Macaca mulatta: one gene and its partners. The protein of the gene in region 3 interacts with the protein of the main gene of each other region in a pairwise test. Links are inferred from orthologs where the notes say so. Each region holds a gene or a part of one and is shown on either strand. Other genes may lie near its edges.

The links.
Region 1: the proteins of ATF4 (region 3) and NFE2L2 interact in binary tests that used the Homo sapiens proteins (3 or more experiments, as listed by UniProt). The link is inferred for Macaca mulatta from reciprocal best matches to the Homo sapiens genes ATF4 and NFE2L2.
Region 2: the proteins of ATF4 (region 3) and CCDC106 interact in binary tests that used the Homo sapiens proteins (3 or more experiments, as listed by UniProt). The link is inferred for Macaca mulatta from reciprocal best matches to the Homo sapiens genes ATF4 and CCDC106.

What each region holds. Positions count from the first base shown.
Region 1 is NC_133417.1:82,176,165-82,182,391, forward strand, and holds the start of NFE2L2 (nuclear factor erythroid 2-related factor 2), read right to left. Parts: upstream 4,049-6,227; 5' UTR 3,914-4,048; intron 2,302-3,913; exon of another isoform or gene 1,966-2,301; intron 1-1,965.
Region 2 is NC_133424.1:67,996,148-68,002,220, reverse strand, and holds the start of CCDC106 (coiled-coil domain-containing protein 106), read right to left. Parts: upstream 3,606-6,073; 5' UTR 3,353-3,605; exon of another isoform or gene 2,697-3,352; 5' UTR 2,596-2,696; coding exon 2,565-2,595; intron 2,435-2,564; coding exon 2,330-2,434; intron 2,234-2,329; coding exon 2,057-2,233; intron 363-2,056; coding exon 150-362; intron 1-149. Other genes in the region: ZNF581 (zinc finger protein 581), read right to left, coding at 5,882-6,073. UniProt on the Homo sapiens protein: Promotes the degradation of p53/TP53 protein and inhibits its transactivity.
Region 3 is NC_133415.1:12,020,630-12,026,508, forward strand, and holds ATF4 (cyclic AMP-dependent transcription factor ATF-4), read right to left. Parts: upstream 3,142-5,879; 5' UTR 2,468-3,141; coding exon 2,242-2,467; intron 2,141-2,241; coding exon 1,311-2,140; 3' UTR 1,228-1,310; downstream 1-1,227. UniProt on the Homo sapiens protein: Transcription factor that binds the cAMP response element (CRE) (consensus: 5'-GTGACGT[AC][AG]-3') and displays two biological functions, as regulator of metabolic and redox processes under normal cellular conditions, and as master transcription factor during integrated stress response (ISR).

The DNA of each region.
Region 1 (6,227 bases), on a different chromosome or scaffold from region 3:
ACTCGGGAGGCTGAGGCAGGAAAATCGCTTGAACTCGGGAGGCAGAGCTTGCAGTGAGCCGAGATTGTACCAATGCACTCTAGCCTAGGTGACCGAGTGAGACTCTGTCTCAAAAAAAAAAAAAAGAAAGACGAACTTGGTGCTGTAAGTCCAAGTCCTACTTAATGCCCTGAACTTGTCTTTACTAGTACCAACAGTTTGGGCCAAATAAACTTACATGCTCAAATACACAAAAAGACTTTTAAACACCAGGATTTGCAACACACAGGTATTACAGTACATATGCCATAAAAACAAATGATTAAAAGTGCCTCCCCTACTCAAAGTTCTTAATATACTTAATAGTCATAGTTCAAAGTTATTATGGCAGAAGCTGACACATAGAAGGCTCAAACTTTAAGTAGCACAGGATGTTGTTCAACAGTCTTGTTTTCATGTCTGGGGTATAGTCTGGTATAAGAAAGCCATATATATTTCTCCAACAGTTTCTGAATGTTAATATTTAATATTATATACTTGAACATATTTTTGCTTTCATTTACAGAAAACATACCATTAGCAATTGAATAAATCTTGGCCTATACCTTAAAGCCCTTTTAATAAATGTTTGTTGGTGCTTATTTAAAAGCAGGTAGCAGTGAAATTTCAATAGCTCCTAGAAATTAAATGATCAAAAAAATAAACTCTGTTCTCTATTTATGGCAAACTTACAATGAATAAACATTTCTACAGTCAGAGATGAAGACAAGCAGGTTAAAAATGACATCTAGTAAACTTGTCCTCCTCTACCCTGGTGTGCAACATATTTCAGTCAACTTTCAGAAAGTGGCTGGACCAAGCACTTAAATGCCCTAAGGCTGACCTGGACTAACTTTTAGGCAAATCATCCATCAGATCCTATAAGTCCTGCAGCACACTTAATTCAGACAAATAAGACAATAATTCCAAAAACAACTTGTTTAACAATAAGGACTAAGAAAGTGTTTAATTTTGAGATGTACTATTCTCAAAGACCCAAGTTAGCTTCAACTAGATAAGACTTGAGCCCTTATGCTTGCTATAGTTCAAAAGTGCCAAAACATGAGATTAGGGTTGAATTTGCGCCATCAGGTTTCTGCTAGCTGTTTTCAACTCAAATTTTCCCCATTCTGCTCTTTCCTTCAACCTGGTTTAACCCTGTCCGTCACAGTCTTCACCATATTCTTACTACCAAACTTATTTTTGAGCACTACTTCAAAACAAAAAGCGCCAATGGAACAGAAGAAATGTACCAACTAGCAAGGCGAACAAAGGCAAAGACTCCAGTAGCAAAGAGATTTAATTAAGAACAAAGGGAAACAGTTCCTGAAAACTGTGAGGCAGAATCTTAGACATTGCCAAGACCCCAGGAATTTAAAAAACTTATTATATTAAGAAACAGGCTGGCGCAGTGGTTCACACCTGTAATCCCAACACTTTGGGAGGCCGCGGCGGGTGGATCACCTGAGGTCAGGAGTTCGAGACCAGCCCAGCCTGGCCAACATGGTGAAACCCCATCTCTACGAAAAATACAAAAAATTATCCGGGAGGTGAGTGCCTATAATCCCAGCTACTCTGGAGGCTGAAGCAGTAGAATCACTTGAACCCGGGAAGTGGAGGTTGCAGTGAGCCAAGATTAGGCCACTGCATTCCAGCCTGGGCAACAGAACAAGATTCCATCTCAAAAACAAAACAAAACAAAACAAAACAAAAAAACAGTCCTGCCTCTCTAAATTGAACCCACCGAGGCTTCTGTGTCTTCCTGAAAAGGACCACAGTGGGTAATCCCATTGATGGGTTGTATTCACTCTCCCAGCATTTAACAAGGTCCACCTCCCCCAGTCATACAGTGATTAAGTGTCTTGCTAAATGGAAAAGCTGCAAACATCAATCTTTTACATTCTAGCCTCTCCTTCCCCCAGAATAGGCAAATCTCAACTTACTCACCTTTTGAAGTGTGAGTTTTTCTTCCTATTTAAAGTTTAAGGAGTTTTGGTAGTCTGGAAGTGGTGATTAGGAGCCCCCAGGAGTCAAACCTGTTTGAATGCTACCTTGGCCACTCAATAGTTTGGTCACCTTAGCAGGTCTTGGCCTTTCTCTGTGCCTCTTTCCTAACCTAATGCCTGATCTAACTATTATCTCTGGTTTTCCCAACCTGGAAACCAGGGATAATAGTATTTCCCGTGAGGTTACTGTAAAATTATGCATGTGAAGCAATTATGTTTGGACCCAGGGAAGTGCCCAGTAACTTATCTATTATTATCTTAGTGCCAAATTCTTCCTGCATACTGAAAAGATAACCCACGTTCAAGGAACAGTTAAGGAGGAAATACTGACACAAAACCCCCTTTTAATGTCTTCAGTCAGGACAGAGGAAATTCCCAGAAAAAAAAATGTACTTGTTGTGTTCCTTTTTTTCACGCAGCTTTGTTAAACATGATTTATCCTCAATAGAAACAAATCTTAAGAAAAATGATGCATTTGGCTTTCAACTTTTCCTGGTAATCCTAAAGACAGAGTCGGTTTTCCCCCAACGTTGCTTATAACAACCCAGGGCAAGAAAGAAAGATTTCAAAATGGCCCAAGTTATTTTTAATGCGGAAAAGACTGATGTGAGTTATGCATTTATCCTCCTACATGCTGCTTCCACAACCTCTCAAGAGATTTTTCACATATCTAAAAAGTCAAGTTGGTCTTTGCTTAACATTCATTCAGGAGATGAGAGGCCTGTCCTATTTTTCTTTTGTTTGACTTAAACATAATCTCATCGGTCTATTTCAATATCAGCTTCATCCCTCATCCAGGAAAGTACTTTATCTCTCCAAGACACCCTTGAAAAGAGTAATGGATGTTCCTTCCACCTAATGGGGATACTGAATCTAAGGCTCTCCTTACTGCCCTGTTTATCAACACATCCTCTGCACAGAAGGTGAAAAACTACATCCTACTACCACTTCACACCTGGAGAGTTTTTTTGACAAAAGATCAAGAAAATGTTTGACTCAGTTCAAATCTTTATGGATGACAACAATCTAATATGAATCATAAACGAAATCAATTCTAAATTTTCTTGTTCTTTTTCTGTTTTCAAATATGCAAATCGATATCTGATTACAAAGGCAGAAAAGCAGTTATTTTTATCAAACGTAATTGAAAAATACACACTTAATGCAGTACATATGTTTTATGCATTTTTGTATATGGAATGTTATATTACACAGCAAAGAAAGAAAAATTTAATAGAGGGTTGTAGACAATTCGGGAAATTAGAAAAACCAAAGTTCATTTTTATCATATATCCTTCGGTCAAACAAGCATTCCTATAGATAACTCTTGAACAGCAGCTATTAAATAAATCGTAAAGTACAATTTACTTCTTCCCTAGTTGGAACCAGAAGAATATAATCCCAATCAAGATTGGGGAAAAGTTCAAGACAACTTTAAAGGGGGAAAAAAAGGCACAATTAATACATTGTCTATAACTTAAAACTTTACAATAGATCTTTGGAATTAACCTAAGACTTTACATTTAACAGCATAAACGAATTTACCGTACATCAAGTACACGTTTCCTTGAATTCCAATTTTTTTCCTAAAATTCATTTACAAAAGAAATTAGAAATATAAATATCTACTTTTAAAGTTTCTACAAGGATGAGCTGAAACTTCTTTTCACTTTTATAACAATTTACAGAAATTAGCATGTGTTTTGAAACGCAAGCGTTCCACTCTCTGCCCCTGCAAAAGAGGGTGGACATGTTAAGAAACTGAGGCAAATTCTCAACTGAAAAGGAAAAATATATAAAGTACTCAGGGAAGAAATAACAGCTGAAAGCAAAAAATTATTAACAAACTAAAAGCAATAGAAATTCTAATCTACACTCGCAACTCTTACCCTTGACAGCACAGAAGAGAATCTCCTGTCTTACACATTTTGGAATTGCAATTCTGAAACGCTAAATCCAAAGACAAAGCCGCTCTGGGGAAAATAACAATTGCGCAACAGATCAACAGCTCCAACTTGTCCCTTGGCCCTGGCGCGGCGAGGTTTGCACGCTATAAAGCAGGAAAGGGCCAACCGAGGGCTGCTGTGACGGCCAACAGACCGCTGTCACAGAGGCCAAAGCCACGCGCGCGGTGCGCGCCACCAGGGGGCACCGCGTCCGAACTAGACGCCCCGGGTGCCGCCGACTCCGGCCTCAGAGTCCGCTGCCCTCGCCCGCACTTTCCCGCGGCGTTGCGAGAGGCCAACTCCGGGTGCCCGGGCCCGAACCCCTCCCCGGCCGAGAAAGTGCGCGGGGCCCGGCTCAGCCGCCACACGTCGGGGCTTCTGGGCCCGCTGGGCACTTCAGGCGCTCCTCCCTCGTCCCGGGGTTGAGCTTTCAAGAAAGCTCAAGGCTGCCAGAGAGTGATCCGACAGATGGATGACTTCGCAAAGCAGCGCCCACAGACGGCCCAGCGGTGTGAGCGCGCCGCAGCCCGCACACACGGAGGTCTTGGGGCGCGGCGAAGGGGCTCTGGGTCCCAGCACGAAGGCGACCTCAGTTCCCCCGAGAGTGGCCCCGTGACTAGGCACATTTTTGCCGGCTCTGAGGCGGGGGAGCCGCGCAGCCCCGGAAGGGCCGGGCCGCGCCGGCTCAGACGGCCAGCGTCCGCCCCTCTTGCCCCGCCGCCCGCCGGGCCGCTCAAACTTAGGGGCTCCGAAGCCCAGCTCTGGGGACCGGGGACGCGGCTGGATTCGCCCACCACTGCCCACGCCCGCGGGCTCAGTCCCCAGACCTTCCCGCAACTTCCCACCCGTTCGCCCTCGGGCTCGTGGTCGGTCGGACCACCCGGCCGCGTCCCCGCTGCCCCTCCCCACCCTGCCCCAGCGCAAGCGCGGCGGCTCCAGCCAGCGCTGCGGTCCTGGCTCTGGCCGGACGTGGAGGAAGCCGGCTGCGGCTATCCCTCCCGGGCCGCGGTTCCCTAGCTCCCCCGCCCCCGTCCCGGCACCACCGCAGGGCCCAGAGGGCCGAGGCAGCACCTGCTGGGACGGGAGTCCCGGCGGCGGCAGCTCCAACTCCATCATGCTGAGCTGGGGACCGTGTGTTGGGGCTCCCCGACGGCGGCCCCGTTCCGGCTGCCAAGGCGCGGCGCGGACAGGGCGGCTCTGGTGGCGGCAGCGGCGTCGGTGGCTCCTCCGGGCTCCCCGGCACTCGCTGATCGGCGACACGCCGGCGGGCCCCTGCCCCGCTCCGCCTCCCGCCCCAGAAGGGCGGGGCAAGAGCCTGGGCCCTTCCTTCCCCCGCCGGCCGCGCGGGCTGAGCTTCCGAAAATCCCCCACCCGCGCCTGGGCTGACGCAAGAAGCTCGCGGTCCGGGGGCGGGAAGGGACTGCCAGCTGGGGTCCCAGCAGGCGGGGGATCGAGAGGAGGCCACAGTTAGCGCCCCGGTGCCGGCGTTCAGTTGCCCTCCCCCGCAAATAAGGGCAGCGCTCTAGCCCGCGAGATAAAGAGTTATTTGCGAAGGTCGCTGGAGTTCGGACGCTTTGAAACAGTTTAAACAGTTGGAACAAACACACCCGGAGCCCCGGAAAGGCGTTGGTGTAGGAGCTGCGCCTCCCTGATTTGGAGTTACAGAACCTTGCCCTGCTTTTATCTCACTTTACCGCCCGAGAGTGGCGCCAGCCGGGGTGGGGGGCTAAAGGTTTGGACCCAGGCCGTGCCACTGCCAACTGCCCTCCCGCCCTTGCTCCCCTCCCGGGCTGGGGGCAGTGGGCCCTGCCCAGGGGAGATGTGGACAGCGCCGGGAGCTCGTGTTCGCAGTCACCCTGAACGCTCTCCTCTGAACTCCCACGTGTCTCCGTCAAGGGCAAACGGAGAAGTCCCTTTAGGTCGGAGAGTGGTCAGTATTGCCTACCCAGAGCTGGGAGAAAAACGGGAACCGCAAGAGAACTTCTTCCCACTAAAGCACAGCCACCACGCCACAGATGGCGCCCTTCAACAGTGTGTAATACCACAACATGCTATGATCTTTTAATCTTTACAAATTTCTTTTTCACGTACTCACAAAATAGTACAAATTTTAAAAAGTTACAAAAACGTTTGTATAGTATTGGCTCATTTTATAAAAACATGTGCCCAGAAAAAAATTGAAGGATAGTTACCAATATATTAAATGCTGTGGAATCAATGATTTTTATCTTTTTCCTTGCTACTTCCAAGTATGCTT
Region 2 (6,073 bases), on a different chromosome or scaffold from region 3:
ATTACAAGGGAGGAGGGAGAGACAGAACCCGGTGGGTCTTTCTCCAGCAAAGCTGGAGGGGCTTGGAGAGAAAGGAGGGCCTCTGGGAAGGACACACAGCAATTCAGCAGCCCAGGCCCCTCAGCGCCCGCGCCATGCACCTCACCCACCTCGCTGCCTCTCCCGGGCCTTGGGCTTCCCAAAGCGCCTCCGACTAGCACCTCCCCTCTGCTTCTGCCGCCTCCTCTCGCTGGCGCTGCCTTCTTCGGAGGCTCCACTGAGGGAGGAGGCTGCTGACTCAGGGTCCGAGGCCTCGCCCCCAGCCCCACCCCGGCTGTCCCCCTCCATCCGCCTGGGCCCAGGCTTCATCCGGCAGTGGTCCTCTGGGGAGAGAGACACACACGTGAACTATGGGACCAGACATCCCATCACAGGTCCTGGGACTGAGAGAGGCTGCAGTCCCCAGTACTGGATCCCCCAACCTGGGCTGGTCCCCTAAAGAAACGGACAGGGAGGACAGTAGAGATGCTGGTGGCTGAGTAGAGCCTGCTGGGGTCTGTGGGAGGTAGTAATGGGTGCAGCATTTTCTCAGAGGCTTGGGTTGGCAAGAGGTCTTGGGGAGGCAGCCGACCAGGGACCTCAGGACCCCTGTGAGTATATGCGGTTCCCACAGGGGAGGGAGAGATTTCTGGGGACTGGGTGGGACCTCCGGAGAGTGGCCTCTGTAAACCCAGGAGGCAGGCCAGGCCTTGGCTGGAGTCGGGGGGTCAGACCCTGAGAGAAATCAGGGGTCCTGGGTCCAGCAGGATGAGTTCCACCTCCATCTAGACAGAGGGAGCTGGCTGGCGGAGGCCCAGACACAGGGTCCTCTAGAAGGCGGCTTAGGAGAGGGGTCTGGTGCCAGGGTCCCCACTGGGAAAGTGCCGAGGCCGCAGGACCAAACCATCTGTGCAAAGGAGTCAGTCACCCAGCATGGAGCCATCAGTGGGAGGAGACAGTGGCAGGCAAGGGCAGTCAGAGGCGGTTTGTTCCAGAGCAGAGGGAAGGCCAGATCCCCAGATGCTGGGTTCCCAGTAACAGACACCACGAGACCATAGGCCCCTTGCCCAAGTTTTTGAGGGAAAAGGTTGAATTCACAAAGAGAGATGTGGGAGTTTTTGAGGGGTCTTCTCAGCCAAGGAGCTAGCAAGGCCGAGCTGAGGGTAGGTGGGGTAAAGTGTGGGTTCTCCAGGACATGGGCTGTCTGGCAAAGGGCCTGACCATCTGGGGAAGAGGATGCGGCTGGGGTCCAAAATGTGTTAAGCAGGACACAGGGTCCCACCAGTCAAGAGAAGATGCTAGCTGTGAACTGGCTGGGGCTGGGGGCTGCTATGGGAGCTCTCCCGGCTGCTTCTGGCCATGAATTATAGCAGAGCAAGGTATGTGGGCGGGGACTGCCCAGGAACCTGGGGCAGGGTTTGAGGAACAGCACCTGCTGGGGTCCCCACCCAAAAAGGCCCACACAGGAAGAGCCTTAATGTCTTTCATGAGGAAGGAGAACTCATTAACCAAGGATGGGACAGGGTGGGTGGGAAGATGGCCCCTGGTGTCACACGGGGACGGGGGGGGACAGGAGGAGGCTGGATGGCTGGACTCTTGGATCTTGGAGAAGACAGGGCCAGGAAGAGGATCAGGGGCCCCCTGAGGAAACCCAAAGGACTAGGGTGGGCCTCTCGGCCAAAGAGATGAAGGAAGGTCCCCCTAGGAGTCAGAAGAGAGGGACTCTCAGGTTCCAGGGTCCTGAAGTCACCATAGGCCAAGGAAGCAGATGGCAGGGCACTGGAGGCTGATGGGATTTGGGGAGCTGAAGGAAAAAGCAGGAGGACAGGCCCCAGTAGACAGTTCATGGGGATGAGGTCCTGGACATCAAGTGAAGAGGAAGCTGGGCCTGGGGGCCCAAAACAGGCAGGGGACTAGCAGAGAGGGCCAACATGGCAGGTCCCACCCAGCCAGGCAAACTGTGGAGCCTCGAGTCTGGGTGAGCGGGTACCCAGTAGCGGGACAGGGAGGCAGGTGGATCAGAGCACCCCACACATACCTGCCTCCATCCGAGCAGAAGAGATGAATTTGTCCAGCTGGCACCGCAGGAAGTCCCTCTCTTCCTCCAGGTCCTCGATGCGCTTCTGCAGCCAGGAGTTCCTCTCCAGAGCCATGTGCAGCTGGGCCTTGACGCTGTTCATCAAAGCCAGGGCGGGGGACGCAGCCTCCGGAGGCTCTAGGGACACAGCGAGGGTGGGGGGACCAGGTCACACCCTGGGACTCGGCCTGGCTTCCCAGCTGACTCCAGTCCCTCCACGCCCCCTCGGCTCACCCTCGAAGTTTCCCCGAGAGGGGCTCAGACTGTAAAAGATCTGTGAGTCTAGGTGGGGCGCCTCGTCGAAGGGGATGGAGATCTCGAAGGTCTCATCGTCCTTCACTGGAGAGGAGAGGCCCCGGGTCACCCCAGAGAAGTCCCGGGCCCCTCAGACCACCCCCCAACCACGGCAGCCTGGAGCCGACCGACCGCACCGGGACCCAGGGTAGGGAAGGGGACCCAGCTTCCTCACTTGTTCGCCTCCGGCTGCTCCGGTCATTCATGGCGTGGCTTCCTGCGGACCCCAGCAGCCGAGGGCCTCAGGGGCACTGGACAGAAACAGCAGCCACAAATGGAGGGACGCGGATGGACTCGAGGGTCCATCCTGGGGGAGGTGAAGTGAGACAGGAAGGACCTTCTGGCCTGGATCCCTGGTCTGAGGGAGGAGGGAGCCCAGACCCCAGGACTGAGGCAAAACACGCCTGGGCTTCAAACTCCTGGGTTCCCAGAGTCAGGGACAGGGGGCCCAGCCACCGAGGTCCTAGGGGAGAAGTGAGCTGGGGACGTGGGCTCCTGGGTATCGAAGGAAAAGGAAGCTGAAGCCCTAAATTGCTGGGTGCCCCAAGGGGTCGCCTGACAGGGACACCTGGCCTGAAGGGGAAGGACTCTCATCGCGGGCCACCGCCAGGCCTAAGGAAGAGGCAGGTGCAGAGGGAAACTGCCCCAACTTCCCAGGGTAGGAGGAGGTCCAGCCCGTGCGCGCTGCCTCCCCTACCTCCGGGGCCCCACACCCCTCCCCCGCACTCGCGTGGGCGTGCGGACCCTCCCCCGGTGGTGGGGGCTGGGCGCGTGCGCAGTACGGGGAAAGGTCACGCGTGGGGATGCGCCGCCCCCGCCCTTTGTCCCGGGGGTGGGAGGGGGAGCAGTCGTGGAAAGATCCCAGCGGGGGAATGCATCAGGGCGGGGGTGCAAATACGGTCACCATCCCCCGCCCGCGGGTGCCCGGGGTCCGAGGGGCCGAGGCCCCCCGCGCTCACCCACCCGCGCGCGGAATCCGACTCGGGGACCGACGGCGGCGGCGCCCATGCCCGGCGCCGGGGAGCGTCTGCAAAGTGTCACGGGAAGCCGAGGGAAGCGCCCACCCACCCGCGAACAGGCGGGGCGGCAGGGGAGCGAGTCGTGGAACTGAGCGACGGAACGGGTACGGACGCGGGGATTCGCCCAGTCGGGCCAGACTAGCGCCCCTCGTTGGAGAGTCCCCTGGTCCAGGTGAGGCCCGCCGTTTGCGGCAGAAGCAGAGGGTCTACACTTGCGCGATAGCCCCTTACGGCACTCCCCCGCCCTCCCCGAAGCTCAGGCAGGGAACGTCAAGAAATTCCCATTCTGGAGAGCTGGCGAGCCTCCGGGGGTTCCCGGGTTGGGTGGCGGTGGGCCCAGTGGGCCCAGGAGAAGGCAGGAGTGTGTGAGACACCGGGAAAGTTGGAGCGAAAGGAGAATCTACTTTTAACGATCTCAGGAACTAGCCAGCGCAGACCCCCCAGAGCTCCCCCACCTCCTACAGCCAGACCCCAAGGTTCTCAGGGATGTGGGGGCCAAAATGGGGGGAGTTACCCCTCTCCAGAAAAACGAGGGGCAGGAACACGCCACCACCCCCCCATGTTGGTAATTAAGAGCTGGCTTTGGAACAGAGCTAGATTCCAGTCCTGACTGTTCCTGCTCCTCCCCAGCCTGTTAACTCACCTGTAAAATGGGGAAATTACAGGCCCCTCTACATTTCTTGTGAGGACACAGTGATGGGACACACAGCTCAGCCCAGCACCTGGCCATAGTCAGGGCTTGAGAGAGGAGCGTTGCTGGTATTATTTGAGGTCAGATGGTGGGGTATGATCGCAACCTCTGGGAGGCTCTTTCCTTTCCCACTCTGGGGAGTACGAACGGAAGATTTGTTCTTCCTCCCAAAAAAAAGAGGTCGGAAGAGCAAATGAGGCCTAGCACAGTGCCTGGCACAGACAGGCAAGAAAAATGAATTAATAAGCAGATGTTTATTTAGCTTCAGGCTCAGCTCCACCTGCCTCTCCTGTTCACCAGAAGCATCCATGCTCTGGACTCTGGCCAGCCCTTAGGAGAGCAAGGTCTTAACCCGATGGAGGGAGAATCTAAACGTCTGCACCGCCTGCAAAGCTGTACCCATGATCCTCCCCTCCCCACTTCACTTTACAAATAAACTGCAGCCTGGTCCAGAAATTCCAGGGGGAGCCACCTGCCCTAGATTAGTCTTTTCCAAACTATAGGTTCATGGGTGGAGAATTCAATAGAATAGGATGAAATCAGCAGTTTAAAAAAATATGTAGCTGGGCGTGGTGGTGCGTGCCTGTAATCCCAGCTACTCAGGAGGCTGAGGCAGGAGAATCGCTTGAACCAGGGAGGTGGAGGTTGCAGTGAGTGGAGATTGCACCACTGCTCCAGCCTGGGCGACACTGCGAGACTCCATCTCAAATAATAATAGCTAATGAAAAAAAATCTACACATACTAAAGCTAACTATGGTAAAGAAACTTTTGTTTCCAGGCCCAGGGTCCTGAGGGAGGCTGAGGTGTGTGGATCACCTGAGGTCAGGAGTTCGAGACCAGCCTGGCCAACGTAGTGAAACCCATCTCTACTAAAGGTACAAAATTAGCCGGGCATGGTGGCACATGCTTGTAACCCTAATTACTTGGGGGGCTGAAGCAGGAGAATCGCTTGAACCCAGGATGTAAAGGCTGCAGTGAGCCAAGATCTTGCCATTACACTCTAGCCTGGGTGACAAGAGCGAAACTCCATCTAAAAAAAAAAAAAAAAAAAAGGGAAGGAAACTTGGTTCACATATATTTTGCATATCTGTGTACTCTATTACCATATAAAATGTGTTTGTGATAGGAGGTTGTGGTTTTAAAATTGTTTCAGCTTAAAAACATTCTTCCCAGATGACCCAGGTGTTCAGGAGCTGAGGAGGGGATAACCCCAAGGCAGGCCAACCTTCCCATTCCCCAGCCAGGCAAGCTGAGGTCTCCCTGCTGCAAGGCAGCCACCAAAGAGGGTCTGAGATGCCGTCTCTAAAAACAAACCTCGAGTGCTCAGGGTGGGAAACGCGTTTATTGTTTGATCGGTCTCAGGCCTGGTTGGGGGGTGGAAGGCAGGACTGGGGTCCCTTCCCCAACAACAGCACAGAAGCCTCAGGAAGATGGCACAGATTCCTGATGACCCACAGCCATCTTTTATGAGGCCAGAGACTTTACATACGACACTCCCCACCCGCATCCAGTCAAGGCTCTGCCACGGAACAGCTGATATCTTTAGGCTAGAGGACTCCATTTTGTGTAGGAGCTCATTCCCATCTCAGCTCCACAACACGGAGGACCTGAAGATTACTCACGGATTCCTCCTTCAGGCAGGGCTCTGCCTTTGAGATGCGGCTGCTCTGTGTCTGTGTCCGGGGGCCTGAACACCAGCCTCGGGCTCTCACCAGGTGTCTGGACAGGAGTCCAGGCTCCCTGCAAAGTCCTGTGGTACCTGGGGCACCCGGCAGCCCAGCTCACGGATGCTTCCACCGCGTGTGCTTCTGCAGCGTGTTCTGCTCCATAAAGCGGCGAGGGCAGTGTGGACACTGAAATGGGCGTTCCCCAGAGTGCACCCGGCTGTGCTGGGCCAGCTCCCCCGCATCCCGGAAGCGGCGAGGGCAGAGCGGGCAGCCGTGGGGCCGCCCACCACCCGCCAGGTGAATGGA
Region 3 (5,879 bases):
ACATGGTGAAACCCCGTCTCTACTAAAAATACAAAAATTAGCTGGGCATGGTGGCGAGCACCTGTAATCCCAGCTACTCGGGAGGCTGAGGCATGAGAATCGTTTGAATCCAGGAGGTGGAGGTTGTGGTGAGCCGAGATTGCACCATTGCATTCCAGCCTGGTCAACAGGGAGAGACCCTGTCTCAAAAAAAAAAAAAAAAAAAAAAAAAAAAAAAATCCTCCTGAGTGTGGCGTCTGCCTCCTGGGTGTGCTTCGGGGACGGGGTGAACACACGTACTGTGCTCAGTTACAGCAGTGCCTGGGCGCACTCACCCTCACTGTCCTCCCAGCCATTCCCCGGGCACACCCAGTCTACACCACCTTCCACAGAAGGAAAACTGTGATCCTGAAGGACACAAGAGGAAAGACAGACCTACCCAGGATACGCTGATCCTTGCATTCAAGCACTCATCCGCAACACAAAATCAAGCACTCATCCGCAACACAAAAGACATCGCCTGCCTGGAAAGGCGAGGTCTCCCCGCCAGCTTGCCAGGAAGAAGCTGCGGTGAGGAGGCGTGGTTTCTAGGCGCTGATCCATCCTAGCATGATGCCAGGCCTTCTATTTAGGTAGCAACAGGCACAACAGCCTTCACAGGAACTGTAGCCTTTGTGCCCAGCTCTAGCCAGAACCTGTGCAGGATGTCATCCTTCCACCCCATAAGGAGAAACGGAGGCCAACCCTCAGCTCCTGTCCTGCTTCAGCATCAATTCCGAAAAGGAGCCATTTCTTTCTTCAGGAACACGTTTCTACAGAACTCAGGGTAACAAGTGAAAACTAATCTTGTGTGCTTATCTCAAGGACTGTGCAAGCTTATCCAGGGTTTCAGGCGACAGCTGTTGGCATGAAGCCCTCTTGAATAAATAGGTAAGAGGCCCAGGCTGTCCCTCCCTCCCAACCTCTCAGAGAGCTCCAGCCTCCTCCCTACACAACCAGCGAACTCACCTCTGGGTAAAGGACCCAACTTGCTACAGTTGGCCAACTATCCGGCTGTATGGCCCCATGAGTCATCAGACATCGTGGCTTACACCTAGCAGGGCGAGCAGTTCCCACTCTGGGTACCCATCTTCAGTCCTGGACTGCCCTCCTCCCCAGATCTCACAAGGAATGTTATAACCAGTTTGGGATGCGTGGTTGGCGCCTCACTCGGCTAATTTGCCAGAAAAGGAATTCACACAAGTACTTTCCCTACAAAATAATTTATTCCAACACACAGCAACAGCAGAGACTCTATGTACAAGCACACTGACGCTCCTGACTACCCTCAACTAGGGGACCCTTTTCTTCCCCCTTGCCTTGCGGACCTCTTCTATCAAATCTTTCAGGTACTGGATCTCCTTGGCCAGGGAATCCGCCCTCTCTTTTAAAGCCTCATTCTTCTTTTCCAGCTCTTTGCACTCGCCAGTGAGGGCCTCCTGCTCCGCCCTCTTCTTCTGGCGGTACCTAGTGGCTGCTGTCTTGTTTTGCTCCATTTTTTTCAGCTTCTTATCCAGTTTCTCACCCTTTACTTTTGCTTCTACCATCTTCTCTCCAGGAGGGTCGTAAGGTTTGGGGCGGGCAGAGCCACAGAGAACACCTGGAGATGGGAGGCTCCTATTTGGAGAGCCCCTGGTAGACGGGCTATGCTGAGGAGAGCCCAGATAGGACTCCGGGCTCATACAGATGCCACTATCATTATCTGAGGGGGTGTCTTCCTCCTTTATGCACGGAGGGATCATGGCAACATAAGCAGTGGCATCTGGCTTCCTATCTCCTTCAGTGATATCCACTTCACTGCCCAGCTCTAAACTAAAGGAATGATCTGGAGTGGAGGACAGGACCCCTGGGGAAAGGGGAAGAGGTTGCAAGAAGGTGAAGGGGGCAACCTGGTCGGGTTTTGTTAAACTTTCTGGGAGATGGCCAATTGGGTTCACCGTCTGTGGGGGCTCCTTGTTAGTCTCCTGGACTAGGGGGGCAAAGAGATCACACGTGTCATCCAACGTGGTCAAAAGGTCATCTGGCATGGTTTCCAGGTCATCTATACCCAACAGGGCATCAAAGTCGAACTCCTTCAAATCCATTTTCTCCAACATCCAATCTGTCCCGGAGAAGGCATCCTCTGCAAAAGATTTGAATGACAGGGCCAAGTGAGTCAGATACAAAGATAACAGGCCCCTAACCCTAGATCCCACCCAGACGATGTGGTGGTGGCCCACTCACCCTTGCCGTTGTTGGAGGGACTGACCAACCCATCCACAGCCAGCCATTCGGAGGAGCCCGCCTTAGCCTTGTCGCTGGAGAACCCATGAGGTTTGAAGTGCTTGGCCACCTCCAGGTAGTCATCTAAGAGACCTAGGCTTTCTTCAGCCCCCAAACCCGACTGGTCGAAGGGGGACATCAAGTCCCCCACCAACACCTCGCTGCTCAGGAAGCTCATTTCGGTCATGTTGCGGTGCTTTGCTGGAATCGAGGAATGTGCTTAATTCGAAGATGTCTTTGTCGGTTACAGCAACGCTGCTGCTGAATGCCGTGAGAAGCCTGAATGGGAATCAGAAGCCAACTCCCATTAGAGGTTAGCTGGTCTGAGAATTTCATCTTTCCACTTACGAGGCGGGACTTCTCTAGTCCAGCCATCTATAGAGTCGGCAACGGGGCAGTTGCATCCGCCCCTCCCTGCTGCGGCTCAGGTTCCACAAAATGGACGCTCACGGAGACCAGGCGATTCTTCCACCGGCCACCAAGAGGAAGGCGCTCCGTCCCCGCGTCCAAATAAGGCCAGGGCGGCCGCGCCCCGCCCACCGCCCGCCCTTGACTCACGCCCGCGGCGCCGCCCTGCCGCCGCCATCTTGGTTCTTGCCACGTTTCGCGGGGGGGAAAGCCGAGACCCCTGGGACCCTTGGGGGACTCGGGGTCCGAGGGCGGCAGGGCCCCTGTGGAAGCAGTCCTGGCACCAGAATGCGCCTTCCCGATCCCGGGCACGCGAGCGTCTCGGGGACACCCAAGCAAAGACCACGCGTCCCGGGCGCTCGTAAAATCGCTTCCTCCTTGGCGGCACCGCCCCGGCCCCAGGCCGCACCCCACCAACCCAAATCCTGCGCCGGCCCAGGGAGCACAGCTGGACGACCCGCCCTGGTACTCACGCCATGGCTTAAGCCGCTGGGGGGGGTGCCGCTGCAGAGCCTGGTGCTGCTGCCGCCGCTGCAAAGGCCAATGCTGCCGCAGGCACTGCTGCCCCTAATACGCCATGGTGGCCGTGGACCCTGCGGGCGGGGAGGAGGGAAGGCGCACACGTGCAAACCAAACTACATTTGTGGGCGGACGAAGTAGAAATGGCCGCAGCAGCCGCCCGCCGGCCCTTTATAGACTTCGTCTCTAAGGGGACGCAGCACCGACGCATCCTTCCGCCACGGCCACGTGACCATCTCCTCCCGCCCGCTCGTTTCCCTCCCTTTGACGCCCCAACCGTTTATGCCCAGCGCGTAGCTGTGACGAGAAAAGGTGTTTGTTCTTATGACCTCACGAAACGAGAGAGGTGCACTACTTTACTAGACTTCTATGATCAGAGTCCGTTCTTTCCTTCGCCGCCGGAGCGCGGAGTGATCTCGCAGACACGCCTCGCTTCCGGTGTCGGCGCGGTGGGCGGGGAGAGGTCGTTTTCCGGCGGAGAGTTTTTATTGTGAAGGCCGAGGAAGCCAGGTTATCGCGCGAGGTGCTGGCGAAGAGCGCGCGTCAAGTTGATTGGCCCAGGCACGGTGAGTCATATATACCTCGAGCTCTTATTGGCTCAGGGCCCCAGGTGGGCGGCTGCTGGGAGAGGGATCACGGAGTCCGCGTGGTAAGGGTCGGGGTCTCGGGTCTCTGCCAGGCCTCAGGCCGGCCAGCCTGCTGGCCAGCTACAATCGCACTGGCTCCTGCCCCCAGGAGACCTTAGCCTAGCGCACCCCATAGTGGCCTCAGGGCCCAGCCCCTGCGGTCGGGTCCCGCCGCCCTCAGTGGAGGTCCGCCACTGGCGGCCCCGCCGCCACTCCCAGCCTGCGCGTCCTTCGGTTGCGGGGGCTGATTTCTGGCCTGCGGAAACCGGGGGGTTACCTGTTCCAAGCCTGAGTTTTCCAGAGACGCCATTCATAGCCGATACGGTGTTGCTGCCCCCGGGAGGTTGAAGGGGTCTCGAGAGGGCGCCTCGGGCCTGCCCACCTACACCCAAAGGCCAGCTGAGTCTGCATGGCTCCGTCTAAACTCTGGAAAGGAGCCGGGAAGACGCGCCGTCCTGTCTCCCAACCTGGGTTTTTACAATTCTCATCCGGCTCAAGTGCGAGGCTGCCACAGAATAGCATCATAGGGGAACTTCTGGTGTCCGAAGATTGCGTTCCCCTAAGAACAGAATTTTCTTCGCTGCCATCTACCTGGGGTAGTTTCGATTCACTCCGGGTTCTGAACTCCCCGGCCTAACCCGCTTTTCGGTGGTCATGCCCATGGCCCTGGGAGGAGAGGCGCTTGGGAACCCACGGCCACGTGCTCGGGGTTGTGCGTTGGGAAGGGGGGGTAGTCTGTTTTAATACAGGAAACCTCCGCATCGTCCTCAGCCCCCTCCAGTCAGGCCCTGTGAAGGTAGAAACTGAGTTTCCGCCTCCATTTCACCGGGCCACACAAGTATTTCTATGATCGCTGTGATACCAAACAACCAGGGAAGCACTGCTCTAAATAACCACAGGCCATCTGCTGCGCTCATTCAACCTCGCTCACAAGTCCTTTCCAATGGTAAACCGAGGCCCAATGGGATGAAGCTTCTTGCTCAAAGTCGCACAGCTCCCAGTGGAGGGAGTATAGGGTAGGAGTTAGAAGACAAATTTTGGGGAGCTCACCCAAAAGAATCCTGGCTGGGACATTTTGGCTAAGTGACTTATCCTCTTTGAGCCTCGGTTTCCTCATTTGTAAAATGAGACTACTGATGAGTATCCTTGCCCCATGAAGTGAAGTCATACATGTAAAGCACTTAGCATAGCGCCTGGTACATGTAAGCACCCAATAATAGTTGCTATTGCTGCTACCCTTCATAGAACTCAGGTCACCTGACCCTGACCTGTGCTACTCTCCACATCCTCCTGCTGCCTCAGAGGACTCTTAACTATTATTTAATGAGATGAAACCAACAACTTTAAAACTTGTATACAGGTATACACAAGGCATACCGGATGCTGGAATAAAAGTATGGTTTTTCTTTCTCTTTGGGGAATCATGAGAGTTGAGATATACAGAATTGGTGCCAGGAGCAGTGGCTCCAGCCTGTAGTCCCACCTACTCAGGCAGAGGTGGGAGGATTGCTTGAGCCCAGGAATTCCAAGCTGCAGTGAGCTGTAATCACAACACTGCAACTCAGCCTGGGCAACAGGGCAAGACCCTGTCTTAATAATAATAAATACAGGAGTTGTCTAGCCTTTCCATGCAGAGGCAGTAAGAATCCCTGAGCCATTAGCCATGTCTTCCAAAGGCCGAACTAGGGACCCACAGGACATGTTCTCCTTTTGCTATAGACAGTACCTCCTGACAGATGATGGTGCAAATGGTTGAGTATTAAAGTAACACTGCCCCAGTTTTGACACTGAAAAGGTCATGAAAGAATGACTCTCATGGCAGCCTGTCCCATCCATTCTTTTATAGAGACCTAGCTCAAACACTTCAAAGGTTACTCTAGCTGAAAATGGAGACCCAGTACCACTCCCACAGGAAGATGTTTCATGCAACACACACAAGTCAACACTGGTGGAAAGGAGACTTTTATTTGCTTCTTCCTATGCTATGGAAGGACATTGTGTTCCCCAGTTTTATTTCCTCCCGCAAGGAGAAAAAGGATAGCAGCT